Linked DNA regions of Lonchura striata. The protein of the gene in region 1 interacts with the protein of each later gene in a pairwise test. Links are inferred from orthologs where the notes say so. Each region holds a gene or a part of one and is shown in the gene's direction. Other genes may lie near its edges.

Region 1 (7,696 bases):
TGTGCAAGTCTGAACTTGAATTTGAATTTTAGGCAGTATTGCAACTTTGCTGCAGTTTGTTTCCACTGATGGGTTTATTGGTTCTATGAACCACGAGCAGAATTAAACTCATTAACCTCCTTCCAGGCTCTGGCCTCTTTTCCTGCTTTTCCCTCCCCCTCTCTTCCCACTGCTGCTGTTTTTTGGGCAGCTTCTGGATTTGGAAGCACAGCTGAACCCTGATTTCAGATGTTCCCAGGGAATCAGCTCTGGGAGCACCTTGGGTCACACAAAGAGCAGATCCCAGCCTGGTTATGAACACAAGAATAAGTTTAATGCACTGAAAAGAAAACCCACACATCTGGGCACAGATGGCACATCTGGGCCAGCAGAAAATGCTCTGCAGCCCCTGGATGTTGCTCTCCCCAAAGTCCAGGTCAAGGGTGCATCCAGGCTCTGCCCAGCACAGGCAGGGACAGCAGGAACATCCTTGAGGTCCCACAGGTCACCCCAAAAGGGCCTTAGGGAAGAGTCCACGTGGGAAGGTCCTACAGGAAGCTTATCTCAGCCTCTCTCAGTGGAAAATGATCTTTTTGTACTTGGAGTTGGGGATTTGCCCCCGTGCCTTGAGCCTCCGGACAGCCTCCCTCATGTGCTTGGGCTGCAGGGGGGGCAGCTCCCCCCACTTCTCACACACATCCAAAGCTGGACAGATAGACAGACAGACACACAGGTCAGGGCAGGGGCCAGCTGAGCTCTGCCCAGCCCCTGCTGCTGCTTCAGTGCAGTTGGGAAGGAACAGGAAATGTTTGTGCTTGGGGTTTGCACCAGCTCCTCCTCCCTGACAGGAGTCCCAGGGCAGCAGGCAGGACAAAAAGCTGCTGAACCCCTCAGGAACTGTGGAGGGGGTGGAGGAGCTCAGAGCCTCTGGGGGTGGGTGGGCTGTGAGCCCCAACAGCTGAGCAGAAAGAGCAGGCTCAGCTCCCTGTCCCAAACTGATCTGAGCTCATCCCACAAAGGAACTGGGGCAGGTCTAGAGGCTTTGGAGCCACTCTGTCCCTGCAGCACTAATGGCATCCCCATCATGCAGCTGCTCTGGGGCTGAGGGACGGAGTTGCCAGCCCAGCTTCTCTTCCTGAGGAGAAGCAGCAGTGCTGGGGGATCAGAGGGGCTGTGGCAGCTTCTGCTGTGAGCCAGAGCTGCTGGAGAACCATGAAAATCCTGTTCCACACCCTGCTCCAAGCAGGGAATTCACCCTAGCCTCTCAGCAAGGTGCCACTCACCTTCTTCCACCACCTCCCCAACAAACACCTTGGAGATGCCCGACATGGCAATGACGACGTTCTGGGACACGGAGGTGCCGGTGATGGACTGGATGAGCTGGGACAGGGACAGGGACAGTCAGATCCCCACCCCCGTGACCTCCCAGCCCATCCAGCCCCTCGGGGAGCCGCGGCCCCAGCTCCCGCTGCGGGGATTGGAGCTGGAGCCCCCCGGGACCGGCCGTGGCCCAGCCCCGCCGGGGCTCCGGCCGCTCTCGTACCCGTTTGATGGCAGCCTTGGGGAAGGCAGAGCGCCGGTACATCTCGTAGCGGTTCAGCTGCTCCTCGGAGAAGGAGGAGACCAGGATCCTGCGGGGCACGCAGCGATCGCTCCCAGCCCCGCGGAGGCCGGAGCGGGGAGCGCCGGGCTGGAAGGCGGGGAGGGGGATCTGGAGGGGGCTGCGGCACCGGGGCCACGATTCCCGAACCCGCAGGCACTCACTGCATCTTCTGGATCTCGTCCTCGTCCACTTTCTGCTTCTTCTCCTTCCGCTCCTTCAGCTCCAGCTTCACCTTCCGGGCCGCACCCGCCTGCAGCCCCGGCTCCTCCGCGTCCGCCGCCTCCCCCTCCGCGCTCCTCACCTGGGCGGGAGCGCAGCGCTCGTTCTGCGGCCCCGCCGCCCGCCCCGGCCCCGCTCCCGCTCCCGCCTCACCTCCCCGTCCGCCACCTCCGCCTTCAGCTCGCTGCCGCCGCCAGCCTCCCGCACCTCGCCTTCTCCCGCCGCCTCTGCGGCCGCCGCTTCGGGCGGGGAGGCGGCTGCGGGCGGCGGCTCCGGCACAGCGGCGGCGGCACCGAGCGCGTCCCGGGCCGGGTCCGCCATGGCCGCGCCCGCGGCGCCTCCTGATGACGAAACACTGCGGGCGCCGCGAGGGGCGGGGCCTATCGCCACGGGAACGTGACGCGGGGCGCCTCGTGATGACGCACGCGCACCGGCGAGGCGGGGGGGCACGGCGTCTGTAGTCATGGCAACGGAGGTGCGACAGCGCGTCCCGATGACAACGAGGGCGGTGCCTGTTGCCGCGGCAACAGCGACTCGGCAGCGCAGCTTAATGACGCGCGGGGCCGGGCTTGTCGCCATGGCAGCGGGGCTGCGGAGGGGGCCCCGTGCGGGCCTCACCCCCGGGCTCTGCGCGCCCGGACCGACCAACCCCGCTCCGAGCCGCCCTCCGCACGCCTGGACCCTGCCGGGACACGGCGCTAGGGCGGCCCCGCGGGGAAAACTCCCCAGAGCCGCCCGAAACGGGCGCGGCCGAGGCACGGCGGGCACCGCGGGGGGCGTGGCCGTTACAGCTCCCCGCCCCCGCACCGCCCATCCATCAAACCCCGCCCGTCGGGCCGCGCCCTCCGAGGCCCCGCCCCGGCCCGCCCCGGCCCCGCCCCGGAAGTCGCGCGGGCGGCGGGGCCGCGCCGGCCATGGGGAAGGAGCAGGAGCTGCTGGAGGCCGCCCGCACCGGGAACCTCCCGGCCGTGGAGAAGCTGCTCTCGGGGAAGCGCCTCAGCTCCGGCTTCGGCGGCTCCGGCGGGGGCGGCGGCGGCGGCTCGGCGGGGGGAGGCGGCGGCGGGAGCGGCGGGAGCGGCGGTGTGGGGCACCCGCTGTCCAGCCTGCTGAGGTGAGCGCGGCCCGGGGACGGATCCGCGGCCCGGCGGGGGCTGCTGCCGCTGGCTGCGGCGCTGCGGGCCGGGAGGGCAGCGGGAGCCGCGGGTGGCGTGTGTGGGGCTGGGGGCGTCTGGGGGGTTTGGATCTTGGGGTGCAGCGAGGGGGCTGCTGGGGCCGCAGCGCTGCGGGGCAGGCCGGGGTCTGTCCCCGCTCTGCTCCCCGGCTGGGACGGGACACTGCAGCGGGGCGTGGGAGCTGCGCACCCCTGAGCGTTTGGTGGGGCCGGTGATGCCGGGGGGCCGTGCCAGAGGGAGCTCCTCGGGCTGCTGTGCCCTCCGGAGAGGGGAGTGGGTGACTTTCGAGCTGTCTGCAGCCGGCAGTGCCAGCGCTGGGTGCTGCCCGTCCCCCCTGGCACCAGCCGCTGCGGCGCTGGGAGCTGCGGTGTGCCCGGGGAGGCTCCCGCACTGCCAGAGCTGCGGGATGACTTTCGCGAGGTGTCCCGGCCCTGCGCTGGCATTGTCGCGGCTGGCGGTGACACTCTGTCGTGCCTGGGCTCGGCTCGTCCTCAGCCCCATGCTGTGGAATTTGCTGGTTGAAGCTCTTGGACTTTTGTTTCTCTTCCTCGTGTTTTGGCATCACCTCTCGCTGCTGGAGCTGCAGCTTTGGGCACTTTGGGAATGCTCCTGGTCCCTGAGCAGTTGGTTTGTACGGGAGGTGTGGAGGAGGTTTGTGTCCAGTGCCAAGTGATACTGTTGCTACACAACCTGGCTGTTCAGAGAGATGTGACTTGCCCCTTTTTGGCCAAATTTCATCTGTTTTTCCTTTCACATAAACCAGTTGGATCCCTGCAGGTTGTGCTGGTGGCAGAAGCTTGCAGGCATGCGAGAGCTCACCCTGCCCTGGGGCACACGTTTGCCTTTCTGAAACGTAAATCTACCCTTGGGTCGAGCTTTGTTCTTCTCTTTTGCTACATTAAACAGTCTGAGCCCTTGTTGGAGTGGGATGGATGTGCCCACAGGGGCCTCAGATCAGTGCAGTGGCTCAGTGCAGTTGAACACCCTGTGAGCTGAACCAGATCCGCCAGTGCCCAACAGCACCTGGGCACGATGGGGCCTTTTTCTGCCTTTTCCTGGACAGTGCCCGTGGTGCCATGGTCCTGGAGCAGTCCCGTGGTGCCAGAGTGAGCCCGGCTGTCCCTTTGGCTCTGACCTGTTACTGTTTCTCACATGTGGACACTGCTTCGTGCACAGCCTGAAGGAGGGTGCCTGTCACAGCTGTCACTCGTTTTCCATGCTCACAACCATGGCTGTAGCTGCTGGTGACACTGGACCTGCCCCTTTCTCTGTACAGCTGGGATTTGTGCCTGTGACAGCAGTTCCTGGTCTGGCTGCACACTGTGGGGCATGGCAACGTGTCCTGTTTGCCACCTGGTGCTATTTAGGAGCTTTGTGACTGTTTCCCACCTCCCGAGCACTTGCTGGGCTCTGGCTCTGTTATGGACTCCTCCAGCTCGTGGTGAGGTTTTGATGAGAAGCAGCTGCTGAGTGTCCCTGCAAGGAGAGGCCAGGGAGTGCAGGAGACAGGCTGGGACAGGCTGCAGGGACCAGACAGATGAATTTTAGGGTGGAGAAAACATCACCTTTTCCAATGCTAGAACATGGGAACTTTTCTGATGTAGGATTTTGCCCTCCTTGGTTGTGGGGAGAAGCCTGCCCTCAGTCAGGCCTGTGTGCTCTGTGTTTTCCCTTCCTTGGGCAGCCCGTGACCCTGCTCAGGCTGATCCCTGCTCCTGCCAAGGCTCCTCGTGTCCGTAAGGATCTCTCCTGACACAGGAGCTGCTGAGCTGCTCTCCACTCCCAGAGCAGGAACATAAACACTCTGCTGGGCTGCTACCTTTGTTCTTTTCTCTGCCTGATTTCAGGACCCTATTTTAGTTTCTGTTTAAGTCCCACTGTTTGGATAACCTGCTCCCAAAGCTCTTCTCTCCTGAGGTGCCTGTTGCAGCTCTTTTTGTCAGTTCTGCCTTTCCAGTGTCTCAAAGATATAGTTTTGGATGGGGTACAAACCAGGCATTCCCTGGAATTCCCACATTACACCTGGTACATGCTGTGCTGGCACCTGCTCTGAGCTGGCACTCACTGGTTTGGGCCATTTCTCTTCCAAAGAGAGCAAGTGCTGCTCCATGAAGTGGTAGAAGATGGCCCTGGCAGTAAATTCCTTGCAATGTGGTGTTTTATCAGGTAACCTGAATTGCCATTGGTCTGTTATCAGTTAAATGTGAACTTTGTCACAGTCTGGGCTGTGCTGCTCCTTCCCAGGCTGAGCAGGGCCCGCTGGGTGTGGAGGCAGCACAGATTCCAATCACCTATGGCTGCAGGTGAGCAGGAAACAGAATGGGATGGAGTGGGGTAATCCACAGGAGGAGGAGCTCCAAAGACAATTTAAGTCTCTGGAGGGGTGAATGTGCCAGGTGCAACACTCAGGGCACTGGGCAGGAGAATAAATCCTGATGGGAAGCTGATGGGAATGGGGAGTGCTGACAGAGAGCTGGGGAAACGAGGAGGATGCAGGAGGGGGAAATGGGAGTGTGGATCTGCCAGAGCAGATGGTGGGCTCACAAAGAGGTGATGGCTGCCAGGCTTTGGAAGGCTCGGCTCCCTGCTGGCGTCCACGCAGCCCCTGGGATCTGCCAGGGCCTGGGGAGCTGCTGCAGGCCTGGCCCAGCAGTGGGAGCAGGTCCTGGCTCCCTGGCCAGGCCCGGCTTCTCCGGTTCCAGCCATGGACCGTGGCACAGGCAGGAGCTCCGTGTGAGGAGCCAGAGAGAAAACCCACTCTGTGCATGCACAGCTTGAGGCTTAAGAGCAACAGCAAGTCCAGAAATCAGAGATGGTCTGTGAATCCTTGAGGTTCCTTGGGGTTATGAGCCACTTCTGCATCGAGGCTGCAGAATTTGATGTATTGTGGTTTTTTTTTTTTAGTGGTTTACTGTGAAGTTAGGGGTGGGAAACAACAAAACAGTCTGTGGCTGAGCTATCAGGCTGCATTCAGGAGGTTTTGCCAGGAGCAATGAGGGATGGGTTGTGTTAAAGCCAAAGCTGCAGAAGCAGCTTTTTATTTCCATCTATTGCTGTGAAAAGTCTGGATCTGTGTTGCCAGAGGGGGAAGCTGAGGCTGCTGCTGAGCCCCAGATGGGATATGCAGTCCCCAGGGAGCGTATCAGGGAGATGCTTCTGCTGGGGATGAGGAGTTTGGGTGCACGTCTATTGTGGGAAGGGTCGAGTGCTGCTCCAGAGAAGCCACAACCCTTGCTCCAGCCCATTTTCAGCTGTTGCTGCTGGTGAGGGGGTCTGGTTGGTTTAAAGAGTGATGTGGCAGGATGGCAGAACACTTGAGGTGGCTTCCAACAGTCCAAGGGTGGTTAGGAATCAGAAAAAATTTAAAAGTGGGGTTTGCTATTTGTTCTGGTGCTGCTGATGGTTCACAGCAGGGATCTGATGGTGCCTCCTGGGGAAGGCTCCGACTGTGCCTGTCTGCTGCCATTCCCCGGGGAAGGCACACGGTGCCAAGGATTTCCCCCTGGGGAAGGGGGGGATTGCCCTGTCCGAGGTCAGGGCCGGGCTGTCTGTCTGTCCCTCCAGGTGTCCCCAGGCCGTGTGGGTGAGCACACAGTGAGTCCTGCAGTGTCCGGCAGAGACAGCAGCAGGATCACCGGGGGGCTCCAAGGTCCAGCTAACCCAGCCTTGTGCAAGCAAGGTGCTTCCCTCTCTTGCCTTTCCCCATCACAAAGGAGCTGCTCCTGCTGCATTCCCGCAGAACAGGGCAATGCTGGGTCTCCCCCTCATCCTGCTGCTGTGATTAATCATCTCACCCACTTTAAACCTTCTCCACACCCTCCCGTGCACACGGCGCTGTGGGACTGAACCCTCTTTAATTACACACCTGAGCACAGGGATTGCTGAAGGTGCTTGTGCTGGGAATTGTTTCCTAAGTACTTCTTTAAGAATTCAAAGGCTGCAGTTACTGGCTGGGACTCTGCAGTGTTTTGTCTCTGTGTGATCTTGTCCTGCAGTTTTGGAAAGTTTTTGCTTGCTTGCTCTGCTCGGTGCAGTTCTGTGTTCAGGGCTGGGTCAGGAGCATCAGACTCTCCTTGCTCAGTGGCACTTGGGTAAAGTGGGTAAAGCAGAACTTGTGGTTTCACAGCACTGGGGCTTTCTTGGACACATGGGAATTGATGGGTGGGTGGGTTCCTTCCTGTGAAACCCCCTGGAGAGGGCCATGTCTCGCTCCCTTCCCAATGGGCTGGGGGCAGCTCCAGGTTTGCAGGGTTTAGTTGGCAGAGAGGGGGTCTGGAAGTGGAAAGCTCTGCACAGGTGGGTGTTGGGGGAAACGCTGCAACTGGCAGGTCTAACACTCCTGTCTCCTGAGGCTGCACAGTTCCTGGATGCAGCAGGAGGGAAAGGCAGGCAGAGCTGTCTCCCCTTCCCTCCTGCTCCCAGCAGTGGGTTTTGCTGAAGAGGAGCTGCTCCACTCAGTGCCACAGGTCCCCTCCAGCTGTGGAAGGCCCTTTGGCAGGGAGCAGAACTTTCTGGAGATGAACGGCTGGAACAGTATTTGGTGTATTGGGAGCTGCTGAGCCAAGAAACAGGGTTCATCCAGCTGGATTTTTGTGAGAATACACATCATTTCAGTGTGACTGAAGGACAACAAATAGGGGAAAGGTGTGACATAGAGTACAGGTAATACAGAATGCAGAAAATGCATCCATATCATGCCAGACCAGAAGGAAAGCTCCTCTCA
Region 2 (7,696 bases), on another chromosome or scaffold:
TTCAGGACACTGTCAGGGGGAAAATGGTGTGCCAGGGAGGTGTCCTGCATGGAGCAGGAATGCTGAGGGACTGACTGTGGCCTCCTCTCACCCCACAGTGGGGTACACATGATGGTGGCAACCCCTGGGCGCCTGATGGACCTGCTGCAGAAGAAGATGGTGAGCCTGGACATCTGCCGGTACCTGGCCTTGGATGAGGCTGACAGGATGATCGATATGGGCTTTGAGGGGGACATCCGTACCATCTTCTCCTACTTCAAGGTACTGAACTGCCACGGTAGGAGCACCCTGAAGCTCAGTCCTGCATATGCCAGATTGGGTGAGTACTAAAGGCTTTTTCCCTGTGCAGGGCCAGCGGCAAACCCTCCTCTTCAGTGCCACAATGCCCAAGAAAATCCAGAACTTCGCCAAGAGTGCCCTGGTGAAGCCCATCACCATTAACGTTGGGCGAGCGGGTGCTGCCAGCCTGGATGTTGTGCAGGTGAGGTGTTTGGGTGCTTCCTCGTGCCTGTGTGGGAGACCAGAAACATTCATGAGGGCACTTAATTTCTTTCTCTGCCAGGGAGCTGGAATTCATGGCCCTCCTTCCCAGTTAAGGGGTACCAAGCAGTGGCAGTTCCTCTGCTGCCTGACCCATGTCTCTGCTTGTTTCTAGGAAGTGGAGTACGTGAAAGAGGAGGCCAAGATGGTGTACCTGCTGGAGTGCCTGCAGAAGACCCCTCCACCTGTGAGTATGCTGGGGACAGTGTGGTCATGCTGGGGTGTGGGGGGAGTTGGGAGGAGGGACCCCCTGTGCGGAGTGGGCCTGTGACTGAGCCATGCTGGGGATCAGCAGTGCTGTGTGCTCTGCTCAGCAAGAGGGAGTGGGCTTCCCCCGGGGGCTGTGCTGGTGCCAGCAGTGCCAGCCTGCAGAAGGGGCTCTGAGACAATGCCTGTGCTGCTGCAGGTGCTGATCTTCGCAGAGAAGAAGGCAGATGTTGATGCAATCCACGAGTACCTGCTGCTCAAGGGTGTGGAAGCTGTGGCCATCCACGGAGGGAAAGGTCAGTGAGGGTCCCAGAGAGGCCTGGGTTCCTGGTGTGACCCCACTCCTGCCAGAATTGTGTGTGGCCACAGAAGGTCCCAGCCTGGAGCAGTTGTTGATGGTGTGAGGAAGGGCTGTGACAGTGTCAGGAGTGAGCTCCACGGTGTACATAGCAGGCATAAACACAGTGCAGATCCCTATGGGATGTGGAGGCCCCTCTGCTCCCTCACTGGGAGAAAGGCAGCCTGAGGAAGTGATGCTTGACTCTGAGGCCACAGTGTTTGCTGCAGTAGGTAGGGCTGGGAGCTCTGCCATGGCTGATCTCTGCTGGGCCTTTGCAGATCAGGAAGAACGGACAAAAGCCATTGAGGCCTTCCGGGATGGGAAGAAGGATGTCCTGGTTGCCACTGATGTCGCTTCCAAGGGCCTGGATTTCCCAGCCATCCAGCACGTCATCAACTACGACATGCCAGAGGAGATTGAGAACTATGGTAGGCACTGGGCCTTGTGGGAGGGCTCTGGAGGCCAGCAAGGCTCTGTGCCTGTCTCTGCAGTGTCTTGGGACAGGGATGCTCTGTCCCACTGTGCTCACCCGGGGCTGATCCTGTCCCTGTCTCTGCAGTTCACCGCATCGGGCGTACAGGCCGTTCAGGCAACACTGGCATTGCCACCACCTTCATCAACAAGGCCTGTGGTGAGGAACAGCACGGGGCTAGGGGCTGGAGGAGGCAGCTGGGCAGTGCCAGGGGGGTGTTCTGAGCAAGCAGAATGGCTTTGCCTGACCTGTGTCTGTGCCCCCAGATGAGTCAGTGCTGATGGACCTGAAGGCTCTGCTCCTGGAGGCGAAGCAAAAGGTGCCACCGGTGCTCCAGGTGCTGCACTGTGGGGACGAGACCATGCTGGACATCAATGGTGAGAGACCCCAGGCTGACACAGGGACCCCTGTGGGGCTGCTGCAAAACCTGGGCTCCAGACGGGACCCTCCAGCTCCCAGTGCCACAGCATTGGGAAGACACTGGTGTAGCCCCTTTGCTCTGGGGTGGGGGCTGCTGTCCTGGTGTGGCACTGTGCTGCCCTGGCGTGGCATTGTCCTGGCCCTGACCCCATCCCTCCCATTGCAGGTGAGCGGGGCTGTGCCTTCTGTGGTGGCCTGGGCCATCGCATCACCGACTGCCCCAAGCTGGAGGCCATGCAGACCAAGCAAGTCAGCAACATCGGCCGCAAGGACTACCTGGCCCACAGCTCTATGGACTTCTAGCCTGGACAATGTGCTGCCCCTGGGTGGGCCTGGGCTTCCTTTCAGCCTAGGGGCCTGTCTTGTACTGCTGTGGCCCCATTTCTAGAATTTTGGTCACTGGGACTTTGCCAGCTCAGGCCCTGCAGGAAATGTATGGAGCTGTGCTGCAACAGCCCATTACATCAGCGGTGTGTTGGGCAAGCAGGTAGCAGTGCCTCAGGGCAAGGGAAAGCCCCAGGTGGGGCCACTGGTCTGCTGCCTCTGCCAGCCCCCTGAAGTGGTGAGGTCATGGTCTTGTGTTGCTCCTCACAAATCCACCCAGTTTCTCTGGGCCCATCTCCCTCACCTGGATTTGTGCATTCTCAGGTGGCTGTTCCTGTCTCCCCAGACATGCTGGGAGGATGCAGCCAGGGTGAGGTGGAGCATGCTGTGCTCATGTCAGGCACTCCCCGAGGTGCTTCCTGTGCTCTGCCCCCGCGTTCTGCCCCACTGCCCTGCTGTGAGGGGGAGGGACAGGCACACGGACACCTCCTGCAGCCCAGCCTCTGCCCCCCATCCCACACCCCAAAAAGGGGAAGTCTCTCAGAGACGGAAGTCTGCCCCATGCCTTTCCTTCGACTGCAGCAGTCACATTTTCTCTGCTGCGGGTAGCCTGAGTCCCTTATCCTTGCGCTGGCTGCCCAGGTGAACTCGGCCCATGGAGAGACCAGTGAAGGATGGGATCCTTTATGTGCAGCACACCAAATTTGGAAAGGTAAAGGGTGGATTTGGGGTTGGTAGAGGGTTTGCTCTGATTTGACATGATGCTGGGCCTGGGGCTGGGCCCTTAGCAGCCTGAGAAGGGGCAACTGCAGCAGTGGGGGAGCCCTGGGCTCAGCAGCCCCATAAGTGGGGTTTTCCCGTGGGGCTGAGGGGACTCATCTGTGTGGGCACCCACTCTGGCTCACGTGTGTGTTGGGTTCTTCTTGCTTGGTCACCACGAGAGTCTCAATGGAAGAATAAACGTGTTAATATGGCGCAGCTTCAGCATCTGTGTGTGTGTGTGTGAGCAGGACCCTGGGCCAGCACGTGGGACGTGTCCCTGTGACCTCCATCGGCCTGGCCCTGTGGGGCCAGTGCCATACAGCAACACCCTCATGGCTTGGGCTGCTTCTCTGTGCTTTTGGAAGGGGCACTGAGTGCTGCAGCTCTTGGGGCAGGGTATGGGTGACATGGTGAGAGTACCTGGGGTCGGGCCAGCTCCAGAGAGCAGTTGGGTGTTGGCAAAGTAGGTTCTGCCGGCACACTGGTCACGCCATGGCAGGGTGGCCATGTCCTGTGGGGGTCTCAGTGGATGTGTGGGGCTGCAATCGCACTCTGACCTCCCTGCTGAAGAAGAACCAAGCCCTGAAAGTGCAGCAGGCAGCCGTGTGTGTGAAGAGCTGGTGCCCTGCCATGTAGGAGGCAGGTGGGCTGGGGGTGGTGGGTATTTTGGGTGCTTGGCTGCATGTGGTTCCTGCAGGGCGGAGGCTCTGCTGCACTTTTGAGGTACATGGTGGCACGCGCCCCCGCTATCCCATGACAGACTGGGAAGGTGCTGGTGCTACAGATGCTCCCCTGGGAGGAAGCAGGCTGCTGAGCAGATGTGAAGCTGCCAACAGGAGCCTTAGCAGCTCAAAATGGCTTTAATTTGCATCAGGGTCTGTCCTGAGAACAGCTCGAGAGCTCAGCTATAGGTCGGCAGGCCAGCACTTGCAGCAGGGAACAAAGAGCAGGACCTGGTGCTCAGGGAGCCAGGAGTGAGTGTGACTCACCCAGTGAGCCATGCCAAGCCTGCTCGGGGCAAGGCGCCCCTCTGCCCAGCTTTGTGCCTGCCCTGCCCCACAGTTCAGGGGTCTGTGCTGGCCCCTGTTCTCTGTGCCCTCCAACAGCATCTGGTGGGTGCAGGCCAGGACTCCCCAATGCCCCTCATGCCCTGTATGGAGGGCAGTGCTGCCAGATGCAGCAGCCAGCTCTTCACTGATCCATTTTTTCCCTGCTTTGCCCTTTCCATGCATTAGAGGTCCTGGAGGAAGATGAGAGCCCAGCTGTTCGCTGCCAGCCCGTCCGGCGTGGCCCGCATGGAGAAGTTTGATGTGCGGGATGATGGCACGATGCCAGAGAAGACATCCCTGCAGCGGTGTGCCCGCCGGGTGATCCGCCTCTCTGACTGCGTCTCTGTGGGCCCGGCGGGCACAGAGAGCTGCCCCAAAGCCACCGCTGCCTTCTACCTCACCACCACGGAGAAGAGCTATGTGCTGGCAGCCGAGCAGCGCGATGAATGGATCACCCAGCTCTGCCAGCTGGCTTTCCAGGTACCAAGGGGTCTGGCAGAGCCCAGAGCCCTACTTGGGTGAACTGCGAAGCTCCAGGGCAGGCAGGGGATTTGTCCTCCCCACCCCCTGTCCCAGGTCATACTCACATCTCTTTGTTTCAGGGTGCAAAAGAGACAGTGCCGAGTAGTGCCAGCACTCAGCCTGGCCCCGCTGTCCCCATGGAGGAGAACTCCCTCTACTCGTCCTGGCAGGACCGTACGTGCAGGGGTGGTGGAGAGGGCTGGGGTGGGCTGCAGCTCAGTCCTGCGGTGCTGACCTGTGGCTTGCTCGGCTCTCACAGTGACTGAATTCTTGGTGCTGGTGGTCCAGACAGACGCAGCCACCCGCTGTGGGCTGCACGGGCACTACCTGCTCTCAGCCCTTCCCCAGAGCCTGACGCTGAAGGACCCCCAGTCTCGCCAGCCTCTGCTCACCTGGCCCTACCCCTTCCTTCGCAAGTTTGGCCAGGATCAGGTGCGTTCCCCACTCCCTTTTGGGGCTGTTGCCTGCCCAGGGTGGGTGGCAGCCCCTCACTCTCGCCTCTGACCCTGCAGGCTGTCTTCTCCTTCGAGGCTGGCCGCCGCAGTGACTCCGGCGAGGGCACCTTCACCTTCAGCACCCCACGGGCCCCTGAGCTCTGCCGGGCTGTGGCTGCTGCCATTGCCTGCCAGCAGCAGGGCAAGGACACCCTGGACCCCAGACTCTTCTGTGTCTCAGAGCCCCAGCTCTTTGCACAGGGCCTTGAGCCCCAGCCCTGGGGGTCTGGGACCGATGATCCCCAGCCCAGCCCAGCCCTGGGGGGGACACAGCCCGCCTCCCACCCCCCTGCCAACCTTCTCCGCTTCACCCCACCAGAGCCGGAGGGCTCATGCCCCATCGTCTATGCCTCCATCGCCCGGGGCCAGCAGCCCCTCTTTGTGTCAGGGCAGCCAGGCTCTGGGGAGCCCTGGGCCGTGGGGAAGCCGCTCCCTGAGCATCTCTACGAGAACATCTTCACCGCAGAAGCACATCCAACCGGGGCCCAGGAAGAGGAGGAGGAAGGGCAGTGGGAGCTGGGGCGCCGGCAGGCCCCCGAGGGCCACAGCAGTGATGGGGGGCCCGTCTATGACAACCGGGCCGCCCTGGCACAGAACCCGCGGGCCGCGGGCTGGGGGCGCGCAGGGCAGGCGGCGCTGTCGGGGCGCTCCAGCCACAAGCCTCACAGCACCCTTCGGGCCAAGCTGGTGCGGCTGCTGAGCCGGGAGAGCCCCGGAGCGCGGGACTGGGCTTGATGTGGCCGGTGCCGTTCGGTCAATAAAGGCCCTGCCCGGACTCGGCTCCGCCGCTGCTGCCGGGGGCGGGGGGGGCGGGCGGGGGCAGCTCCAGCCTCCCCGCTAGGGGGCGCCGCCGCGCCCGCCCCGCCAGGCAGAGGCGCGCTCGGGGATTGGCCGAAGCGCCCGCTGGCTCCGCCTCCCCCCGGTCCTATATTAGTGGGGCCGGGCCGGGCGGGGGCGGTGCCCGGGTTCGAGTCCCGCGTCCGCCCGCTCCGCTCCGCTCCCGCCCGCTTCGCCGGGCCCCGCTGGCCGCGGGTGAGTCCGGGGAGCCGGGCCGTGCGGCTCCGTCCTCTGCCGGGGGGATGGGAGTGTGAGGGGTGGAGGGCTGGGGCTTGGCTTAACGGGAAAGCGGGTGGTCAGGGTCGGGCCCGTGTGGGGCAGAGCCGGCGTCCCCAGCCCCTGTAGGGGGGCGGCGGTGTGGGATGGGGAGGGGTCCCGAGGCGCCCCGGGGTAAGGGTGGGACCGCCCAGCAATAAGCAGGGCTGCCCAGCCTGTGCACGCCGGGGACCCCCGTGCAGTCGGGGAGGGTGTGGGGTCTCCGCCCGCCCCGTCCCGGCGCCTCGCTGGGGCTTGCGCGGCTCCCGGGCGCCGGGAATGCCTGACACGCAGCTCTTCCCCCGGCCCTCCCGAGCGGGGAGCGGGCTGGTGTCGTCTTACACGCCTTATATAGACCGCACCGGCCCGGGGAGAGCGGGGGCACGCTGGCCCCCGGCCCGTGCGAGGCGTGGGGAGCCCCGCCGCCGGCCCTGGCCGCCCTCGGCAGGAAGGTCCTGGGGCCGTTCGGAGGGGTCTGGCGGCTTCTTCCAGGTAAAAGGTGACGGGAGGCTGGTGCTGGCCCATCTGTCCGGAGCCTTGGCCGGCTGACAGCTGTCAGGCAGGGGAGTGCCGGGATTCCCTCCTGCCGAAGCCCCGGAGATGGGCTCGCTCCCAGGGAGCATCTGCTCGGCCGGCTGCCGGAGCGCCAGCCCCTCTTCTCTGCCAGGCGCCTCGGGTGGCATCACGCAGCTCCTGTGCTGCGGCTGCTGCTAATTCATCCGGCAAAAATGCTTCTGGTTCCTACCGTTCTGTACCTGCTGTTGATTCTCTGCGGTCTGAACAGCCTTGGCTCTCAGCAGCAGGAGTTCCTGGGGTGCTGCAAAGGAGAGCACATCCCAGGTTTGGGAAGAGAGCAGAGCCCACAGACACTCCGCTGTGGGTGGCAGCAGGGCTGTGCCTGGCTTCCTGGCACTAGTCAGTGTTAGCCTGGGCCCCTCAGCTCTGATGTTGCTGGAGGAGATGCTGATGGATTTGGGGTGCGTCTCTAACCACAGTGTAGGATGATCAGGGTGGAGTTACAGCTGGAAACGTGACCTGCCTCCTGTCCTACCCTGCCAGGCACTGAGCCTTCTCCTCGCCTGCTCTTCCTGCATTGTTTCCACATACCCTAACGCTGGAATCACATCCTCTTCCCTTGCAGAGATGGGCGACATGGAGTCCTACAAGGTGATGCTGAATGGGCCGGCACCCTGGGGCTTCAGGCTGCAGGGAGGGAAGGATTTCAGCATGCCACTCTCCATCTCCAGGGTAAGAGAAACCGAGGCTGGTGACACCCATCCTTCCTCCTGCCTCTGTGGGCGGGAGGCCGCAGTGGCTGAGGCAGAACCCTACGGGGGATGTAGATGAGCTGGGGCCCCGGGAATGCTGCATCCTGCCCTGCCTGGCTCCACGTAGCCTCCTTGGTCCCTTATCAGCTGCAGCTCAGCACGGGGGTGTTCCGGGCAGAGAGCTGCAGCAGAAACATGAAATTCTG

Evidence for each region. The genes of interacting proteins can lie anywhere in the genome.
Region 2: the proteins of ANKS1A (region 1) and DOK3 interact in a two-hybrid assay, tested with the Homo sapiens proteins (2 studies listed by BioGRID and IntAct). The link is inferred for Lonchura striata from reciprocal best matches to the Homo sapiens genes ANKS1A and DOK3.

Annotation. Positions count from the first base shown.
Region 1 is NC_134632.1:4,361,637-4,369,332, forward strand, and holds the start of ANKS1A (ankyrin repeat and SAM domain-containing protein 1A), read left to right. Parts: upstream 1-2,706; 5' UTR 2,707-2,715; coding exon 2,716-2,912; intron 2,913-7,696. Other genes in the region: TAF11 (transcription initiation factor TFIID subunit 11), read right to left, coding at 554-684, 1,263-1,359, 1,523-1,610, 1,744-1,883, 1,955-2,122. UniProt on the Homo sapiens protein: Regulator of different signaling pathways. Regulates EPHA8 receptor tyrosine kinase signaling to control cell migration and neurite retraction.
Region 2 is NC_134617.1:3,219,283-3,226,978, reverse strand, and holds DOK3 (docking protein 3), read left to right. Parts: upstream 1-2,958; coding exon 2,959-3,015; intron 3,016-4,300; coding exon 4,301-4,594; intron 4,595-4,716; coding exon 4,717-4,810; intron 4,811-4,895; coding exon 4,896-5,068; intron 5,069-5,148; coding exon 5,149-5,865; downstream 5,866-7,696. Other genes in the region: putative ATP-dependent RNA helicase DDX41, read left to right, coding at 99-261, 350-481, 656-727, 947-1,043, 1,366-1,515, 1,647-1,718, 1,826-1,936, 2,146-2,282; PDLIM7 (PDZ and LIM domain protein 7), read left to right, coding at 7,366-7,470. UniProt on the Homo sapiens protein: DOK proteins are enzymatically inert adaptor or scaffolding proteins. They provide a docking platform for the assembly of multimolecular signaling complexes. DOK3 is a negative regulator of JNK signaling in B-cells through interaction with INPP5D/SHIP1.